Linked DNA regions of Yarrowia lipolytica. The main gene of each other region encodes a partner of the protein of the gene in region 2 in a complex. Links are inferred from orthologs where the notes say so. Each region holds a gene or a part of one and is shown on either strand. Other genes may lie near its edges.

Evidence for each region.
Region 1: the proteins of YALI1_A00325g (region 2) and YALI1_D09000g are in contact, whole or in part, in a crystal structure (PDB 4A9A), measured with the Saccharomyces cerevisiae proteins. The link is inferred for Yarrowia lipolytica from reciprocal best matches to the Saccharomyces cerevisiae genes RBG1 and TMA46. Residues at the interface, in NP_009364.1 of Saccharomyces cerevisiae: Ser83, Lys84, Leu85, Thr86, Gly87, Thr88, Glu89, Val106, Ile107, Arg108, Tyr109, Lys110, Gly111, Lys113, Leu150, Val152, Pro155, Leu156, Lys159, Leu249, Ile252, Asp253, Ser254, Leu255, Ser256, Ile257, Glu258, Glu259, Leu260, Glu261; in NP_014734.2 of Saccharomyces cerevisiae: Gln217, Pro218, Lys219, Ile220, Thr221, Leu222, Glu223, Phe225, Ile226, Glu227, Glu229, Arg230, Leu233, Lys237, Leu238, Thr239, Pro240, Ile241, Thr242, Ile243, Asn245, Phe246, Trp249, Lys250, His253, Lys257, Lys269, Pro270, Thr271, Gly272.

Annotation. Positions count from the first base shown.
Region 1 is NC_090773.1:895,757-905,331, forward strand, and holds YALI1_D09000g (uncharacterized protein), read right to left. Parts: upstream 4,299-9,575; coding exon 3,339-4,298; downstream 1-3,338. Other genes in the region: YALI1_D08971g (uncharacterized protein), read right to left, coding at 203-1,441; YALI1_D08983g (uncharacterized protein), read right to left, coding at 2,413-2,563, 2,615-2,799; YALI1_D09004g (uncharacterized protein), read left to right, coding at 4,672-6,423; YALI1_D09034g (uncharacterized protein), read right to left, coding at 6,699-7,733; YALI1_D09055g (uncharacterized protein), read right to left, coding at 8,901-9,575.
Region 2 is NC_090770.1:28,198-37,923, reverse strand, and holds YALI1_A00325g (uncharacterized protein), read right to left. Parts: upstream 5,326-9,726; coding exon 4,219-5,325; downstream 1-4,218. Other genes in the region: YALI1_A00375g (uncharacterized protein), read left to right, coding at 357-1,007; YALI1_A00309g (uncharacterized protein), read left to right, coding at 6,976-9,726. UniProt on the Saccharomyces cerevisiae protein: Involved in ribosomal function.

The DNA.
Region 1 (9,575 bases), on a different chromosome or scaffold from region 2:
AAATATACAATACATAGTCTTCTTGTTACTACTTGTAGCAGATATATACAATTATATTCAATGATTATAGGTACAAAATATAAATAGGGGAATGTACAATGGTATGTGCTTGATGTCTCGTTAGACAAATTTTTTTTGGGGTCCGGGTCAGTGGGAATAGTCACGCCGACGAGGGTTGCTTGCAGTCTGCCATATGCCTCTCTTACACCATTAGCAAAAAGAATGGAATGACCAAGGCGGCAGCGGCAGTGGGAAGAGTAGATCCAGCTCCATTGGCGGCGGTGGACGAAGCAGGAGCAGGGTTGTCGAGAACAGTATCGTTATCAATCTTGTCGTGCTTCAGAACAATCTGCCCAAGAACAGTCTTGTTGTCGTTAGACAGAAGGGAGTAATCTGTCACGTTCAAGGATCCCACAGCTTTACCAGAAGCGTCGGAAACCACCATAGTGTTAGGGTTGATGGCGTACATCAGGTTGTTGTTTGTATCAAGGATCACGTCCAGGTTATATACTCCTCCAATGGGTTTCTGGTCCGAGTCGACAAAGGACAGATTAGCAATAGGAGACAGGTCCAGATCAGACTTAATGGTCTTGGTTTCGTTTCCAACCCCGGTCTGTTTCAGGAAGTCGCCCCAAAGCTCTCCGTCGGCAACCACAGAGCTGTTGGAGTACTGGATGAAGGCCTCTCCATCGGGTCCAAAGTCAAACTTGCCCGTGTTCACGTTCAGAGTGTAGTTGAAGCTAATATGCGACAGGTTGAGTTGGATGGTGTAGTCGGTTTCGATCTGCAGGGTATCCATAGTGTTGTTTCGAATGTAAACCATTTCGGCTCCATCTCCAAACTGGGGATTACGAATGTAGAATCGAGTTCGAGGGGAGAGAAGGCCGCTCAGATCTCGCACAATTCCAGCCTGGGGGCCAATGGTAGCTGCGATATCCTTGTAGTCCTTGTTGAGGTCGTCCCAGGTGAATCCGCTGGAGCCAGGGCCGACCTTGGGCTCCACAAACACGCCGCCAATGAACGACTGGTCCGGTGCATAGAACTGGCGGGTGGAGTTGTCCTTGGCCAGTCCTCGTCGGGTTCCGGTCACGTCGAAGAAGCCCGTGTCGTTGGCATGGCCCACAACTCGGCCCGAGTTGGTGATTTCGCCGGTCTTGTCGTCGTAAGAGCCCACAAAGTTGCCGGACTCGTCTCGGAAATGCGACAGCATCACCATTCCCGTGTCGTTGGCTCTAGTTCGCAGCTTGTCGAAGGGGTTCCACTGGCCCACGTACTGTCGGTCGTCCATCGACCACGTCTTGAAGTTGTACGTGTCGATGAGCAGAACCTGCCCGTCCTCAGTGGTGGCTGAGAAGGTCGCGGGGTCGACGATGGCCGCGTTCTGGAACGTGTTGTAGGCGAGCGCCACAGGCAGCAGAGAGAGCATGTTCAGGAGCAGCATGTTGGATGGTTGGTGAGTGTTGGAGTCGTCGGTGAGTGTTGGAAATGGTGTGACGCCGCCCCGTGTATGTCGCTGCCGAACGGTCGATGGTGATGTAGCTCTCTGCTTCAGCTCTGGGTGGATCTGTCGAACGCACGCGCCCCCTCTTGTCTATATATGGATGATGGCCAAAAGTCTGCTGTGCTGCCGAGGGCGCAGGAATAGACTTTTTACTGTTGAGAATGAAAAATGAAAACAATGGTCGATGCAACAACATGCAGGAGAGGACATGTCAGACAACAGATGATGGACAGCCCTGGGACCAAAGAGCCCAAAAGGAGAGACAGTCACGTGATACACCGTCCCGGTGGAACGCCCCTTCTCTCGCAGTCCCCACCAATGCCCCACTTTCCCACCCCTCCTCCTTCCCCTCCTCTTTACTCGTATATCCCTCTTGGCTTCTGTAGATCCAACTATGCGGCTGATAGCCTCATGTGGGACATGCCGCAGGGTTGGTGGGCGGGTCCCAAAGAGTCTATCAGGACGTCAGTACAGTTAGTACGGTGGCTTGTACGAGTGAGCAGTTACTTGTATAGTGATTTGGAGCTTGAACGAGGGCGCTGTGGTGAGTTATTTTCGTCGATAATGGGCCGAGCTCAATGTTTGGCGCCATAGAACGGACTCATTTGGTGACCCTGCTTACTTGCACCCCTGTGCCCCTATCCACCAGACTCCTGCATTCCACTGTTTTTTTTGCTGCTTGGTTTGTCACATTTTTCTCGAGAATTTTCGCAAACTGTCAGAAGACATTACCCCTGAGTGCCTGTATCTACTGTACGAGTACATACGGTACTGTACCTGTACAAGTGCCGCGGGAGACTTGTTGTCAGTGGCCCCTATAACAGCTGACTCCAGGCTAAAAGCGGGCTAAGACTCGACAGAGAGAGACAGAGACATCGACAAATCAGCTCACGTCTTTGGGCCGATCGAACCTAACTAAAAGCTAACAAAGTTGTCAAGTTGGTTTTTACGCCATGTGGGGCAGTGCAGTCAGACGGCGTTGGGCGGGTAGGAGTGGTAACGTGCCAGACAGAGCGTCCATTTGCATACAACCACGTGTGTGAGTACACTGTTACGGTACAACTACGGCATGTACCATATGTCTACTCCGCTAACAGAGTACAAGTACGCTACCTACTGCCCGGTGTAAGTGCAAGTACAAGAACAAGACAAGTAGTACATCGAGTCACGTGATTTGAATGTCTCCGGAAAATCAGCTGTTCCCTGGGGATATCAAACTCACGTGACTTCCTGCTGGGTCCCTCCGACATCAGCCGTGCGATGCATACCGCCGTCTCGGAGTGGTCCACATTTACCATATATATCAGGAATCAATGATTAGTAACGCTGACACTTAGTCATCGCGCTCGAATCTCGTGCCCCGTGAGTCTGCTCTCCTTTGTTATCAAGCCATTCTCGGAATCGAACGAGAGGGAGCGGTACCAGTACAAGTATCTACACAGTCTCCTTGCTTGCAAGCGTAGGCATAAACCGACAGTTGTCATCGATAATTTTCCACAGCAATGGCCACTGGTGGTCAATTGACAATCACGTACAGTCATTTCCAGACCCTGCGTTGGTCGTTAACATGGTTACAAGCTGTCTCTACACGATGTATTCCTATAGAAATAAAAAGTAGCCAAGTAATGAGGCATGCAACCTGCTATAATGCAGGTGTTGAAGCGGTTTCTTTTGTGAAATCCGCTTCGGTTAGTTGGTGTACAGTACTGATGGCTCTCTGTATATGTTGAGCATGTAGTAAGTAACACCCGTTCTCTGGAGGGAGGAGGGTCTGTTCATGCGACCAAGGCCACAACGACAATACCCAATGACCACAAGCACTCGCCGACGCTTGTGCTTACTCCTCATCATCGACAATATCCAAACTGGGCTTGAACTCAGACAAGTCCCAGGCGGTACCGTTAGTTCCATCGTCCTCCTCATCATCGTCATACTTTCCGGTAAGCAGCAGCTGTCGACCAGACATCTGTTTCTGGGTCAGCTTTCGGGCCTCCTCAGCAGCAGCCTCCTCCTTGGCCTTGATTCGGTCAGCCTTCCACTTGTTGAAAGACTCCAGAGTCACAGGAGTAAGGTTCTTGGGCAGTTTGGCACGCTCTGTCTCCAAAAAGTCCTCGAGAGTAATCTTGGGCTGCTTTTCCAGCGCAAGCTTTTCCAGTTTCTTCTGCTCCTTGGTCTTGAACACAAAGCCCGGTGGCAGAGAATGTCTGTACTTGCACTGATCGCCGCCGTTGGGACAGACCCAGAACCAGCCGTACTTGGAGTCCTCGATGGCGTCCAGAAAGAACTTGCAAACAATATCTGTGGTGGTCTTGGGGTTTCCATGCTTGGACAGAATCACCTTTCGCAGCTCCTCCTCGTCCCAGGTGTCCATGCCCTGCTCCTTCTCCTGCTCTCGCGCGTCCGTGTACAGATCCTTCTTCTGTGTCTTTCGGTCAGCCTCCAGGTTGTGCGAAAACTTGCATCGGGTGCCCTTGGTGCACTGGCCCTCCTTGAAGTATGCACACAGCACGGTCTTGGGATCAACTCCAAAGGGAACCTTCTGGGTAATCACCACGGAGCCAAACAGCTTGGCGGCCTCGGCCTTGGCCGCAGCGGCAGCCTTCTTCTCGGCCTCCTTACGCTCTCTCTCAGCCTGCTTCTTCTTGTCGGCTCCAGAGGCTGTAGCTTCAACCTGCTGCACAAATCGCTGAACCTTGGACGACTTGTTCTTGTTCTTGAGACCAAAGGTCTTGTCGCTGGCCCGCTCCTGTCGCTTGGCGGCCTTGTTCTTCTCGTTGAGCTTCTGCTTGGGTGGCATCTTGCTGGGTCGTGTAGTGTAGTGGTGTAGTATGCCTACATGGTTTTTTTTCACTTTAGGCAATTTTCACTCTTGCTTTCAAATGCAGTCCGAGATTTACGCAGGGCGACTTCTCAGTCCGGAGGTGAGGATGTCACGCGAGAATCGAGTGACTTCTGAGAAGCCAGGTAAAAGGGGAAATTTTGGTCCGTGTTAGGGAACCTGATACACCATCAACACGTACTCCTTATCGAACGATCCGCCATTGTCATAATCTATCAACTGGTCACGTGTCGCCTACTCTTTTTGGGGGCAGATAAAGCTTAATTTGAAACTCTAATAAATTATCGAGTGTGCGATTACTAATCAAGAAGAAATATATTTTTTGCAATCCATGACAGAGAGACTCTGTACAATTGCGGCCTTGCTGAACCCGAATGTATATCCCTTTTGCCTGAGCAATTCTTCCGTGATATTTAGTCCAGGCGAGGTTCCCTACGATGTCCTTGCATCCACTGAGCTAAACCCATTAATACAGTACACCCGCAGTGCTGAACCTCCTACTGTGTCTGTTAACATGCTACGAAGTTCCAAACGATACATGACTACCATGTCCAACCGACAACCTGTGGCCTCTCGACGGGCTCTCTACGGCCTGGCCTCCGGGCTCGTGCTCGCCACCGCATACATGGGCCACCAGTATCTTATGGACCCCATTGCTCTGGACAGCAGAGGTATCAACACCAATGCTGCTGGAGGGTACGATCCGTTTGGCCGACGAATGAACATTATGAATCCCGAGCGGGTCAACGCGCGACTGCGGGAGCATGAGCAGAGTCATTTCGTGGAGCGAGGACGCGGGGTACTGAGATACGATATGGCGCAGTTGCCGTCCAATTCGCCCATTGAGGACGACTACTCCGACCGGGTGGTGTCTGTGGCTCTGAATGAAGCTGGAAACGCCAACGCTTCGTCCGACTGGATGTTCTGGGGCCTGTATGACGGCCATGGAGGCTGGACCACCTCTGCCAAGCTCAGAGAAGAGCTCATCAACTATGTGATTCGACAGCTTGATGCGGGCTACAGCGATGCTGGCAAGACGCTTGGCGATAACATACGACGAACTCCCAGCCCTGAAACCATCGATCTGGCTATCAAGAGAGGCTTCCTGGCTCTGGATGACGAGATCTGCATCCACTCCATTAACAGACTGCTCAAGAACCCCCAAAAGGGCCAGTCTCCCGAGACGCTGGCTCCCGCCGTTTCTGGATCCTGTGGTCTGCTGGCATTCTATGATACCCTGTCTCACACTCTTCGAGTTGCTGTCACCGGCGATTCTCGTGCTGTTCTCGGCTCCAAGTCTTCTTCTGGATGGACTGCACGTGCCCTGTCTGTCGACCAGACTGGCTCCAACCAGCGAGAAGCTGACCGAATCCGAAAAGAGCATCCTGGCGAAGAGGACCGTGTGATTCGACGGGGCCGAGTTCTGGGCGGTCTGGAACCCACCCGAGCGTTTGGAGACGCCCGATACAAGTGGACACGTGACTTGCAAGATAAGGTGGCACGTGCCTTTTTCGGCCGAAGCACGCCTCCGGAGCTGAGGTCGCCTCCCTACGTCACAGCTGAGCCTGAGGTGACTACCACCAAGGTCAAGAGTGGTGACTTTCTGGTGATGGGCTCCGATGGGTTGTTCGAGATGCTCTCCAACGACGAGGTGGTGTCTCTGGTCGTGCAGTGGATGGAGACTCACCCCATCACCGAGTCTTCCACCGCCGCTTCGGCCAAGTCTGGAGGAATGTGGGACAAGATGTTTGGCAGCAAGGACTCGACAAAGGTGGTTGATCTGACAGTCGACCAGGACGCCATGAAGCCTCCTTTCCGACACCAGGGTGCCGTTCTCAAGCCCACTGTTGAGGATGAGAACGTGGCAACTCACCTGATTCGAAACGCTCTTGGAGGAGCCGATCGGGAACAGCTGTCCATGCTTCTGAGCATCCCTGCTCCTCAGTCACGGCGATACCGAGACGACCTGACCGTGACGGTGGTTTTCTTTGGCGATGAGAAGGCTCCTGAGAACGGCGGTATCAGAGGCAATGTTGCTGCTACCAGTGGAGGTGTGGGCACTCAAGAAAAGGCAAAGTTGTAAGAGCAGATGACGAAACCGCAGGCTGAGCGTCTGCAAGAGGCAGTCAGACACTTGCTTTTCGTGCGACGAGTACATACATCTCTAGTAATATATGTTGGGTTACGTTATGTGTATGGTATGTACTGGTACGAGTACAGTATTGTACTTGTGTAGTCCGCGTTCTATCATCTCTAAGTTGAATGATTCTATAAGTTATCCATTCATCTATATCTATTGGTGGTTATGGGGTCAGTCAAATCACTGGAAGGACTCTTCGGGCTTCGCTCTCGAACGTTTTAGTTCTGGAACGACAGCCATTGGTTAGCAAAGTCAGCCACAGACTTGTCAAGGGGAATCCAGTCGTAGTTGAGAGCCTTTCGTGTCTGGTCGTTATCAAACTGAAAGCCCTCCTTGTCAGTTTCAGCTCCGGTTCCAGGCTTTCCGGTAGCAATCTTTCCCTTGAGCTCAGGCACCTTCTCGTTGATCACGTCAAGGAGATCCTGGTTACAGAACTTGGACACGCACAGCATGAGACGCTGGTTGTCTAGGGTCTTGGAGATGGCAGACAGGTGGGCCTTGGCCACGTCTCGCACGTCAACCCACATCTGGGCAGGGCCAGCAGGAGCATCCTGACCAGGCTTGGTAGAGAGAGCTCCCTGGACAATGACCTCGTTGGAGGTGTTGAGAGCCTTGGCATCAATAGCAATACCAGGACCAAAGACGTAGGCAGGGTTGACAGTGGTGAGGCCAAAGGAGGGCTTCTCAGACTCCATGAAATCCCAAGCGGCCTTCTCGGCGAACTTCTTGGAGCCCAGGTAGGTTACGACAACATTGCCCTTCTGGGCAGCCTCGTCCCAAGTGACGGGGTTCCAGGACTTCTCGGTGACGACGGCGGAGGAGTCGCCAACCTCGTGCCAGTTCATCATGGCGGCGAAAGACGAAGTGATGACGAACTTCTCAACCTGGGGAGCGTACTGCTTGGCGGTCTTGAGGACGGTCAGAGTACCCTCAACCGCAGGCTCAAGCATATCCTTGACGGGGTCCTCGACGTTGAAATGGAAGGGAGAGGCGGTGTGGAGCACATACTTGATGTCAGTGTGCTTCTGGAACAGAGTCTTGAACTCCTGCTCGGATCGGACATCGGAAACAGTCTCAAACACCAGCTGGCCGGTCTTGATGGCCTCGGGGAAAGCAGCGGCCAATCGCTGGCCCTTCTCCTGCGATCGAATCGTTCCAATGACCTTGTGGTCGGCCTTCAGAAGCTGCTCGATGCAATGGCCGGCAATGAAGCCAGTGGCTCCAGTGATGAGAGTGGTGGGTGTAGTAGACATGTTGTGTTTGTGTGTTGGATGTGTGGGTTATGGGATGTCAGGAGGTATCTTCCGGCAGCAGTGCACTGTTATATATCCTCCACTATGTACTTGATCTCCGTCAACTTTCATCTACATTGCATTTCTTATGTCCGTCAGTTTGTCATGTCATGGAACAATTATGAAGGTTCGCTCCAATTCAGTTCATACTATTGTAGCAGATTTAGACAGTGATAGAAAAAGATGGCAGCAATAAAAACGGGCTGTAATGGGTCAATTTTGTCGCGGAAAAGGTCGAATCGAGTAAACAAGACTCGAAAAATCGATTGTAAACCTCCCCATCTCAATACCTCCGCCTCTTCACCCAAAACTTGCTACCTTCCCTCGCATTCGGCATGTCCTCTAAAAGCCTATTCTGATCAACAACCTGCTTTGCGTTTGCTTCCTTCGGCAAGGTGTAACGGCTCTTCTCGAACCGTACGCCTTACAAGCAAGGTTGGGCGGACAAAAATAAGGTGCTGATAAATGGACGGACATACCAAGGTTGCGTAGCGGAGGCGCGCACTTGGTGTTAACGATATGTCCGACAACTGACGAAATTACCCGTGAAAGGAGAAGAAAATGTATGCCATTAAATGCAGAATTCCCCAGCGACTCTAATGGTATAATTATATCCCGTTTCTGTATCGCAGAAAGCCTCAATATGTGCACCAATATGTGCACCTTCCAATGGACCCACTAACAAAAATAGATGTGCAAGAAGGAATGATGCAGAGCATACAGAGGTGCGACACTAGCCCAGAACGGCGATTGCTGGTCGATTATCCTAGAGCATACAGACCTGGGAAGTGATGAGTGTAAATATGACTGATGTGTTTCTCTTACAGGAAGATTTGGAATAATGTACTAACATCCTTCTTATTATGACATTGCACTGTTCAGCAATGCTCTCGTGGGCAGCTTGACTTCTTTCCGCTCAGTACATGTTGCTACAATACTGTATGTTAGAAGTGCTGGTTATATATGGAGATAGGGGGTACAATCCGTTGCTTGTCAGCTTGAAATCCTATAACTACGTCTCGGAAACAGAAATATGAGTCAATCGTATCCATTGACACGGTTGCAATCCTCCGGGTCCCCCAAATCAACAATAAATTCATTCGCCTAAGAAACTCGTTGTACACTTGTCTACAAATGAGCCTTGATCTTCTGGCCACCCTCCCACTTATCGCCAGCGGCCAGCTTCTGCCACTTGGCCACGTCTCCTGCCTCGATGCAGATCATATGGTGGAAGCCCTGCTTGGGGGTGAAATCAGCGAGACCCTCGGCCTTCTCGGTCCAGGGGTTCCACACCACCACGTCGTTGATATTGTCTCGAGTGACGGTTAGGTAGGGTTTGTTCTCGACATCGACATTGACAGCTCCAGGCACATTTTCGTACACTCGATCGACCTCTCCGGATACAGTCACCTTGGCGGCCTGCTCGACGTAGGAAGAAACAGTCACCTTATCCTTGACGGGGACGGCCTGCAGACCAGTCACTTCGACGTTGGCAATCTCGGGGACTCGCAGATAGGTGTGGAAGAGGATGTTGAAGTCGAAGGGCTTGTTCTGCTCAGCGTTCTCCACTGACATTCGGGTCTCGAGAGTCTTGTTGGCGTCGTCGATAGTCACGGTGTAAATCAGAGTGAAGTTGTAGTCCCACTGCTTCTTGGCCTCGTCAGACAGGTTCTCAGGACCCAGACCAAACTGGATGGCAGCCACGGGCTTCTCCGAAGTCTGACCAAGGTACTCCCAGGTGGAGGTTCGTGCAAAGCCATGCTGGGGAAGGGCCGAAGTGGGGCCCTCGGTGGACTTGCCAAA
Region 2 (9,726 bases):
TCCTAATTAGTATGTGCCCCAAAATAGCCTAAGATTTGCGCTGGGAGAATGGGATATACTGTACATTTTAAAATGTTTTATATGTTTTTTTAAAAAAAATTATACACATTTTATATCTGTTTTCTCGATTCAAAAATGAATAGTTTGGACACCAACTACCCACGATTTCTGATCACGTGACCGACGGTCCTCTTGCGGTACTCCCCGGATCACACCCACACGAACCCTATGACGCGTTTCATGTTTTGTGTCTCCTCCACTATGTCGGCATCTGGCGCGGCGCTTCTCTCTCTCTCTCTCTCTCTCTCTCTCCCACTCTCTTAATTTCTTTCACAACAACCACGGAACCACCGACGATGGAGCTGCCTCGGATTATTGTGCCTCCGTGCTTTGTGTCGGACCCGTCTATTCTGACCGAATGGCGATATGAGAAGCGTCACGAGGCTCAGATGGTGCTGCCGGGCCTGTGGCTGGGGCCCATGAGCGTGCTGCGAAACGCCGACTTTTTTGAGTCCAACAATGTGCGTCTTTTGGTGGCGGTGACGCGTCCGGAGCGGGCGGAGTCGCTGTTCCGCAAGGCCACGTTCGACTCGGCCCGGTTCGAAACCCATTGTCTCGATCCCGGGCCCATCAACTCGCCTCTGGCCGGACACCAGATCATCTCGCAGATGGACTGGCTGATAGGGCTGTTTGAAAAGGCCGCGCAGATGGGGGTGGGCACGCTCATGTTCTGCGAAACTGGCAACGACCGGAGTGCCACCGCCACCTGTGCCATGGTGATGAACTCCATGGGGTGGGATACGGTGCGCAGCATTCAGTACGTGCAGTCCAAGCGGTTTTCCGTGGCACTGGACGAGTCTCTCAAGTACAACCTACAGACTTATGAAGACATTTGTCTGGCTAGCATGGTGGTGAGAAATTCAGATGGGGTGAATGGCGTGGAGAAGCATGCCAGAAAGGTCAGTGGACAGGCGGAGGAGAGGAGGAGTAAGAGGAGTTGCGAGTGAAGTGGTGACAAGAGCGGAGCGATTGTCATAGCGAGCGACTGTCATAGCGAGCGACTGTCATAGCGAGCGATTGGAGCAAGCCACTATCATAGCGAGCAAACGATTGAGCAAGCGATTCCATCGTGGACCTGCGATTGGAGCAAGTGACTACGATCAGTCCCTACGATCAGCCCCTGCGATCAGTCCTTGCGATCGGTCCCTGCGATCGGACTCTGCAACTACCATATTCAATCGGAACGGCTTTGACATGACTACAAATAGCAATAGCCTCTGAACTACTTTGCTGTCTACCGGTCATATGTCTACAAATAGTCATCGCCTCTGAACTATTGTTGCTATCTACCTGTCACTTGTCTACAAACATCCACTCTCAATGGCGTGTCTTGCCGACCGTGTTGACTGCATTCTCTCGACTCAGAAAGATTATTTATTGGAGGGCCGAGCTCAAGCAGCTGTCTGAAAAGCTGCCGCACCACTCGGATGTATTTCTATGTATTTTTATGAGCACATATCGTAGTCTGAGGCTGTAGAAGTAATTGAGACATTCTCGGGAACGTCATTCTCAGAACCATCAACTCTTGATCTCCAACCCGTCCAACCCGTCCAACCCGTCCAACCCGTCCATCTTTCACGTTCATTTGGCTGAACACATTACTGTTCCCCAAGAGCTGAACAGCTGCCAATCTCCAGTGGTTGTCGCTGTAATATATGTCTAGTCATGGGCCACAGATCCTTTTGTGTCACCTGTCTCATTTCTGGTTTGTTGTCCCTTTTGGAGTCTGGTTAGTCGGCCTCGCTCAGTTACTTGACTTTAGTTGACGAAAGAGAAAATTTTGGGAAAAAAATTGGAAAAAAATTGAAAAAAAAATTATGAAAAAATTGATGGAAAAATTGGAAAAATTGGAAAAATTATAGGGAAAAAATTGGCAAAAAAACCTGGTAGAAAATCGGAACATTGCAGTGAATCCCATGACATATTGACCTTTGATTCAAATTGATTCTTAGATTCTAATGCACACTCACGGTCCCCTAAATATTGTTGAAGGTAATACCCGGTGGCGGGTAATACCTGGCTAATTCCCTCACATAATGATGAGATTGTCACCCATAATGAGTGATGAGAGGAATCAGCTTGGTCTCGTAGACGAGATTGTCCATCCTGTAGATAGTTTTATTCCACTGATCTTAGAATCTCTTTTTCTGGTGAAATGAGCAAGCAACACACCCTTCTGGTGTTTGTGCTACTATCGGAACGCCGTGTCCCTAGAAGTGGGTTGTAAGTTGTTAATTAACTATATCACACCAATAATACTTATGATCTTCAATAAATATCTTCATCACCAGTAAAATAAATGTATACAAGTACATACGGGACAACCACTCACGTCAAACAATGAAGGAGACAGCTGCAATAACATTATATCGTTGTAACTGCTAGATCAAGGGCTGTTAAATGGTACAACTTTTGTATCCCTGCGATCATTATCCGCTGACTAATTGTCTGTGCTGGGGAGTTTTCTCCATTGAGTGGAGATTTAGGCTACAGTAGGTAGAGATGGGAGGTGAAAAAGGGGAGGTGAAAAAGGGGAGGTGGAAAAGGGGAGGTGGAAAAGGGGAGGTGGAGAAGGGGAGGAAGTGGTCACGTGATGAATATGATGGGCAGTTTCGATTTAATTAATAAGAAATTACTGATGTGAGACGTGCGTGTTCAGTCAACTAGTATGTCAACTAAAACCGAGCCAGGTAAATGAGTGAGCTGTGTAATTTTGATGTTGTGTGTATGTCTCCGAGTTCTCCTTCCCCCACTAAGTAAATAGAGTGACCTTAGATACTGTATACTTGACATTTTAGTTACGGGTGCACTTGTACAAGTCTTCTCACATCTCCACAACTCACACAACTTGATACCACATACATCCTGACACAAATATCCCCAATTCGTCGCAAAAAACACAAACACGTTCTTATTGGCTCTGACTCGATGGCTCTGGCAACATGGCGACTCAATGGCTCTCGCTCAATGGCTCTGACAACATGGCTCTGACTCAACGACCCTGGCTCTCGTAGTTCACAGTTTTATCTTGGCGCTGTCGTGTTGTGTTATCGGCATCGTCGGCTGGCGGCTGTAGTTCTGGCATGTTGCTGCTCGGACTGGCTCTTGCTCTCGCGGTTTGGCGAGTTGGGCACAAACGCTTTGCTCAAGGACGGTCTTCGCAGACGTTCATGCTCAGACGAAACAAGCTGGATCTGGATCAGGTTTGGATCGTGTGTCACCTGTTCTCTTGACCGAGAGTCCTGGTGTGCTGATACCAAGTCAACAGCAGATGGAGCGAGCAGACATATGATTATTCAACCGACAGTCCATCCCTCCAAAGCATTCAGTTGTCATCTCGGTGGATGACTCAGCAGCCCCGCCGCCCTTCTCACTAATCAAAGCGACAATTCCTCGTCCGAGATATGACCCAAACTCACTCAACATGGTTCTGGTGTTCCCTCTGGACATATTGCTGGTCTTTCTGCACCTTGGGTCCTCGACAATGGCCGGAAACGCCCCTTTGGCTGGAAACGTCCCTTTGGCTGCCTGATGACTCCTTTATCAGAGTGTATGCTTGTCCCTCATCCAACCACGTCTCGCCTGGATGAGGGGCCTGAGCTCCCGAGTGATAAAGGTGTCTCGCAAGTGTGGACTTGGTTGAAATGAGACAACGCTTTCCTTCAATGCTTTTGGTACTGTACGCACATGTTGGAGACGTTTGAATCGTCGTCATTTCAACACATTGACAGTGGAGTCTGTGTACCAACGATGACTGTCTACTGGTGGTCGTCATGACTGATTCATCACAGAACCAATGCACCAGAGATGTGTTGTAGCTAGAATTTTGCCACTACTACCTACATTCACCCTTCTCTCTACAGTACTGTATGTATATCCTATCATGATATATTCACTACTCTGGTGAGCGTTAGCTGTGTGTCCATCAGGACACCGCTGAGACCGGGTATGGAGGGTTGTCAGTGTCCGGAGCTCTGTCCTGATGTCTGGAGCTCTGACCCGGTCTCTTCCGGTCCATCCCAGTCTGTTTCGGTCCATCCCGGTCTCTTTGAGATCTATCCCAATCTCTTTTTTGGTCTGTCCGGTCGGATCCTTCTCATCTTCATCTTCACCTCCTCTTTTCTTGTGCTGACTGCTCAGTGTTTGCCAGGATCCAGACTATCTCTTCAGAATAGTGACAACATCCTCGTCCATCAACTCATGGGCCAAACCAACATACTGGGGCTGGTGCTTGACCGACTGACCGTAGACACATGCCGTCTTAAACTCCTCAACCAGACTCTTGTGGATCTGGTTACAGAAATGCTGGACGGTCGACCGACCATTCCGCAGAATGATGGGCTGCTCGTAGTCGGGCTGCTGGCCCTTGGGCTTGGTGTAGACCCGAACGAGGTTGAGTTTCTTCCACATTTCCTCCAGCAGCTCGTCCAGGTTCCAGCCATGCTCCGACGAAATGGGCACCGCGTTAGGGATTCGGTAAAGCAGATCCAACTCCTCAATGGAAATGCTGTCAATCTTGTTGAGACAATAAATGACCGAAATGTAGCGTCGGTTCTGCGCCTCGAGAATGTCAATGAGCTCGTCGACAGTGGCATCGCATCGGAAATGGATGTCAGCAGAATTGATTCGATACTCGCCCATCACCGCCCGAATCTCGTCATTGTCCAAATGGGTCAGAGGAACCGTGTTGGTGATGTTGATTCCACCCCGCTCCTTCTTCTTGAACAAAATGTTAGGAGGCTCCTTATTGATTCGAATACCAAATCCCTCCAGCTCCCGCTCAATGATCTTTTTGTGCTCCAGCGGCTTGTTCACATCCAGCACCACAAAAATCAGGTTGCACGTTCGAGCCACCGCAATCACCTGTCGACCTCGACCCTTACCATCCTTGGCTCCCTCGATAATTCCAGGAAGATCCAGCATCTGGATCTTGGCACCACGATACATAATCACTCCGGGAACAGTGGTCAGCGTGGTGAACTCATACGCCGCTGCCTCTGAATGAGTACCAGTCAACTTGGACAGTAAAGTCGACTTTCCAACCGAAGGAAACCCGATAAATCCAACCGAAGCAACACCAGTTCGAGCCACATCGAACCCAGCGCCTCCGCCACCACCTCCAGAGGAAGTGGGAGTCAACAGCTCTCGCTTCAACTTGGCCAACTTGGCCTTCAGCTGACCCAGATGGAACGAAGTCGCCTTGTTCTTCTGGGTCCGAGCCATCTCCTCCTCGATGTTTTTGATCTTTTCCACCGTTGTCGACATTTTGTTTTTTTTTGTGCAGTTGTAAAGGAGTGAATGGTTGAGTGCAAATCAATCGCTTATCTTTGAGGTTTGCTCTGTATCCATAAAGTGAAAATTTGAGATCACGTGAGTTACCCGGCGTGGCTAGTAATAAATTACAGTTTACTCGGTTTAGGGTTGTTGGGTTTAGGGCAGGGTTAGGTGGTTTGGGGGGTTGGGGTTTCCACTTCAAGACTGAATGTCGTTGAAGAATGGGCACGGGCACAATCAAACACATGTCATTATGGGAAAAAAGAATCTCAACCTCCCATATATAGCTTTCTGTATTATGTGAATATAATAAAATCGTTGGGTTGCTACGTTTCGGGTATCTTTCTACTGTAGGGCTGGGGTTAAAAGTTGAAGTATCTGTATTAGGGTTTGGTACTATGAATATCTCTAAATCACGTGTGTAGGTTGATGTGATTTGTAGAAAATGTATCGCAAAAACAAAAAGGTCATCTGGTTTTTATGTCTCCCGGCTTTACTTTGTAGACCCTTTTAATTCTTCTTTTATTCCTTCTTTTTATTTCTGTTTTTTCCCCCTTTTTAAAATAAATATATTAGAGCACATATCGACCTGATTTTGAGTGTATAATTAAATGACAAAGGTTGGCTAGATTTGGACATGGAAAAAGGGGGATCCGCAAAATAGAACCAGAGGTGCTATACTTGTACAAGTACTTGACGGACAGATTGTCAGGTGATAATTATTACCCGTCATAATCTGTATATCATTTTACACTGCTTGCTATTCATAACCTAAGGAGATGAGTTTGCCGTAATCTGAACATTAAGAGGTTTAGAATGGCATATTTTACAGGGAATTGGGGACAGACTGGAGACGGACATGGTGGCCATTTCTGCGACACTGGTTAGTTGGTGTTGAGGTACTGTAGTCCCAAAATTTAGTCATAACCTCTGCGACACACTCTTAATCTCTGATCTCCTCCGGGGCTGATTTCGTCGGGTGCAGACCAGGTCAGGGGAACGGGGAAGCCCTGCGATGTCGGATGAGTCATTTTTTCGGAGACGAATGTCGAGTCACGTGACCAGGCGAAGAGTCAACTGGAATTTCGATTGAGTCACATTCAGTCATGGAATTAAACGGGAAAAATAAAGATGGGATATACCGAAAATTGGAAAAAAAAAAAACAAAAAAAACCACCACAACGAATATCAGTATTTCGGGCTTTTTTATTTTTTATTATTTTAATTTATCTTCGACTACTGCAGTTATTGCGTGTTTATATAATGAGTGATAAATAAATGATGAAGAAATCCACTCGAAAAACATGATTTTCCCCGGCAGAAATTCGGGGGAAAAAAAGATTAAAAAAAAAGTCTGGAAAAACACCGGATGAAAAATTTGTGAAAAAATCGATGAAAAAAGTGAAGAAAAAAGCCAAGGAAAAATGTTGGAAATTCTGGGATAAAAAGGGGGCAAAAATTGTGATTTCCCTCCCGGTAATAATATGTCAGAGTTTTGTTTTGTTTTCATTTTCTTCATTTTCTTGTCTCCAATTCACGTGACAGTGAGTCACCTACCATAAACCAACGAGCCCTAACCTGTGAAATTTTGCATTAAATCTACCCTAGCAACACCCACTCGGATTCACCGACACAAACACAATGAATTTCTCCAAGGAGGAAGAAGCGGTGCTCAAGTTCTGGGAGGAGATTGATGCCTTCCAGACGTCACTCAAGCTCAATGCTGACAAGCCCCATTTCACCTTCTACGATGGGCCTCCGTTTGCCACTGGCACTCCGCACTATGGCCACATTTTGGCGTCGACCATCAAGGACATTGTGCCACGATATGCCCATATGACTGGGCATCATGTGGAGCGACGGTTTGGCTGGGACACGCATGGGCTTCCTGTGGAACACGAGATTGACAAGAAGCTGGATATCAAGGGCAAGGAAGACGTGATGAAGTTTGGTCTGGCCAACTACAACGAGGAGTGTCGAGCCATTGTGATGCGATATGCTGGGGAGTGGCGCAAGACGATTGGTCGGCTGGGTCGATGGATCGACTTTGACAACGACTACAAGACGCTGCAGACGTCGTTCATGGAGTCGGTTTGGTGGGTGTTTCAGGAGCTGTACAAGAAGGACGCTGTCTACCGGGGCCATCGAGTCATGCCCTACTCCACCGCTCTGTGCACGCCCATTGCCAACTTTGAGGCTGCTCAGAACTACAAGGAGGTGCTGGATCCCGCGGTGGTCGTCGCCTTCCCTCTGGTGGATGAGCCCGAGGTCAAGTTGCTGGCCTGGACCACCACTCCCTGGACTCTTCCTTCGAACCTGGCTCTTGCCGTGAACCCCAACTTTGACTACATCAAGATCAAGGACGGCAAGACCGGCGACGTGTACATTTTGCTGGAGTCGTTGCTGTCCACTCTGTACAAGAACCCCAAGAAGGCCGACTTTTCCGTGTTGGAAAAGGGCATTAAGGGCTCTTCTCTCAAGGGCAAGCGATACCAGCCTCTATTCCCCTACTTTGCCGCGGACTTTGAAGACTCGGAGGACGCCCGAAAGCTCAAGTTGACCCCGGGCTTCCAGGTCATTTGTGCCGATTACGTCACCGACTCCTCCGGTACCGGAATCGTCCACCAGTCTCCCGCGTTCGGAGAGGACGATTATCTGGCCGCTACCGACGCAGGCATCATTTCCGACAAGCGGTACCCCCCCAATCCCGTCGACGACGCCGGCAAATTCACCCCCGCGGTCTCCGACTGGGAGGGAGTCTATGTCAAGGACGCCGACCGGTCCATCATCAAGAAAATCAAGGAGATGGGCCGACTGGTGGTCGACGGCCAGGTGCGTCATTCGTACCCCTTCTGCTGGCGATCGGACACTCCTCTGCTCTACCGAACCGTGCCTTCGTGGTTCGTGCGAATCAAGGAGATGATCCCTCAGATGCTGGAAAACATCGACAAGACCAACTGGGTGCCCTCCAACATCAAGGATGGCCGATTTGGCAACTGGATCAAAAACGCCCGAGACTGGAACATTTCCCGAAACCGATACTGGGGTACCCCCATCCCCCTGTGGGTCTCCGACGATTACGAGGAGGTGGTTTGCGTGGGATCCGTGGCCGAGCTCGAGGAGCTGTCTGGAGTCAAGAACATCGACGACATCCACCGGCACCACATTGACGACATCACCATCCCCTCCAAGATGGGCAAGGGCGTGCTTCGACGAGTGGAGGAGGTCTTTGACTGCTGGTTCGAGTCCGGCTCCATGCCCTACGCCTCCAGACACTACCCCTTTGACCCCGAGTCCAAGGAGGTGATGGAGAAGGGCTTCCCCGCCGACTTCATTTCCGAGGGAATCGACCAGACCCGAGGCTGGTTCTACACTCTCACGGTGCTCGGAAACTACTTGTTTGGCGTGTCGCCGTTCAAGAACGTGATTGTCTCCGGCCTGGTTCTTGCTGCCGACGGCAAAAAGATGTCAAAGCGACTCAAAAACTACCCTGACCCTACCGAGGTGCTCGACAAGTTTGGAGCCGACGCTCTGCGGCTGTATCTCATCAACTCGCCGGTTCTGCGAGCCGACACCCTCAAGTTCCAGGAGGAGGGCGTTCGAGAGGTGGTGTCCAAGGTTCTGCTGCCGTGGTGGAACTCGTACAAGTTCTGGGAGGGCCAGGTGTCTCTGGTCAATAAGCTGTACGGTACCGAGTTCAAGTACAACCCTGCGCTCAAATCCGACAATGTCATGGACCGGTGGATTCTTGCGTCTCTGCAGTCGCTGGTGGGCCACATTCACGCCATGATGAAGGAGTACAAGCTGTACGCCGTGGTTCCTCGACTGCTCCACCTCATTGACGATCTCACCAACTGGTACATTCGTCTGAACCGATCCCGTCTCAAGGGAGACAACGGAGAGGAGGACGCCGTCAAGGCTCTCAACACTCTGTTTGAGGCCGAGTACACCCTGGTTCGAGCCATGGCTCCCTTCACCCCCTTCCTGTCTGAGACCATCTACCAGAAGATCAAGCCTTACATTGAGTTTGATTCTTCCGTGGCGGATTCTCGATCGGTCCACTTCCTGCCCTACCCCCAGGTTCGAGAGGAGCTGTTTGACGAGGACATTGAGCTTGCTGTGAAGCGGGTCCAGTCCATCATTGAACAGGGCCGAGTCATTCGAGACAAGAAGAACGTGCCTCTCAAGACCCCTCTCAAGTCGCTGGTCATCATCCACACTGACCCTGCCTACCTCAAACACGTGCGAGACCTCGAAAAGTACATTGTCGAGGAGCTCAACGTGCGACAGGTGGTCATCACCGACGACGAGGCTGCCCACAAGGTGGTGTACAAGGCCCAGGCTGACTGGCCCGTTCTCGGCAAGAAGCTCAAGAAGGACATTGCCCGAGTT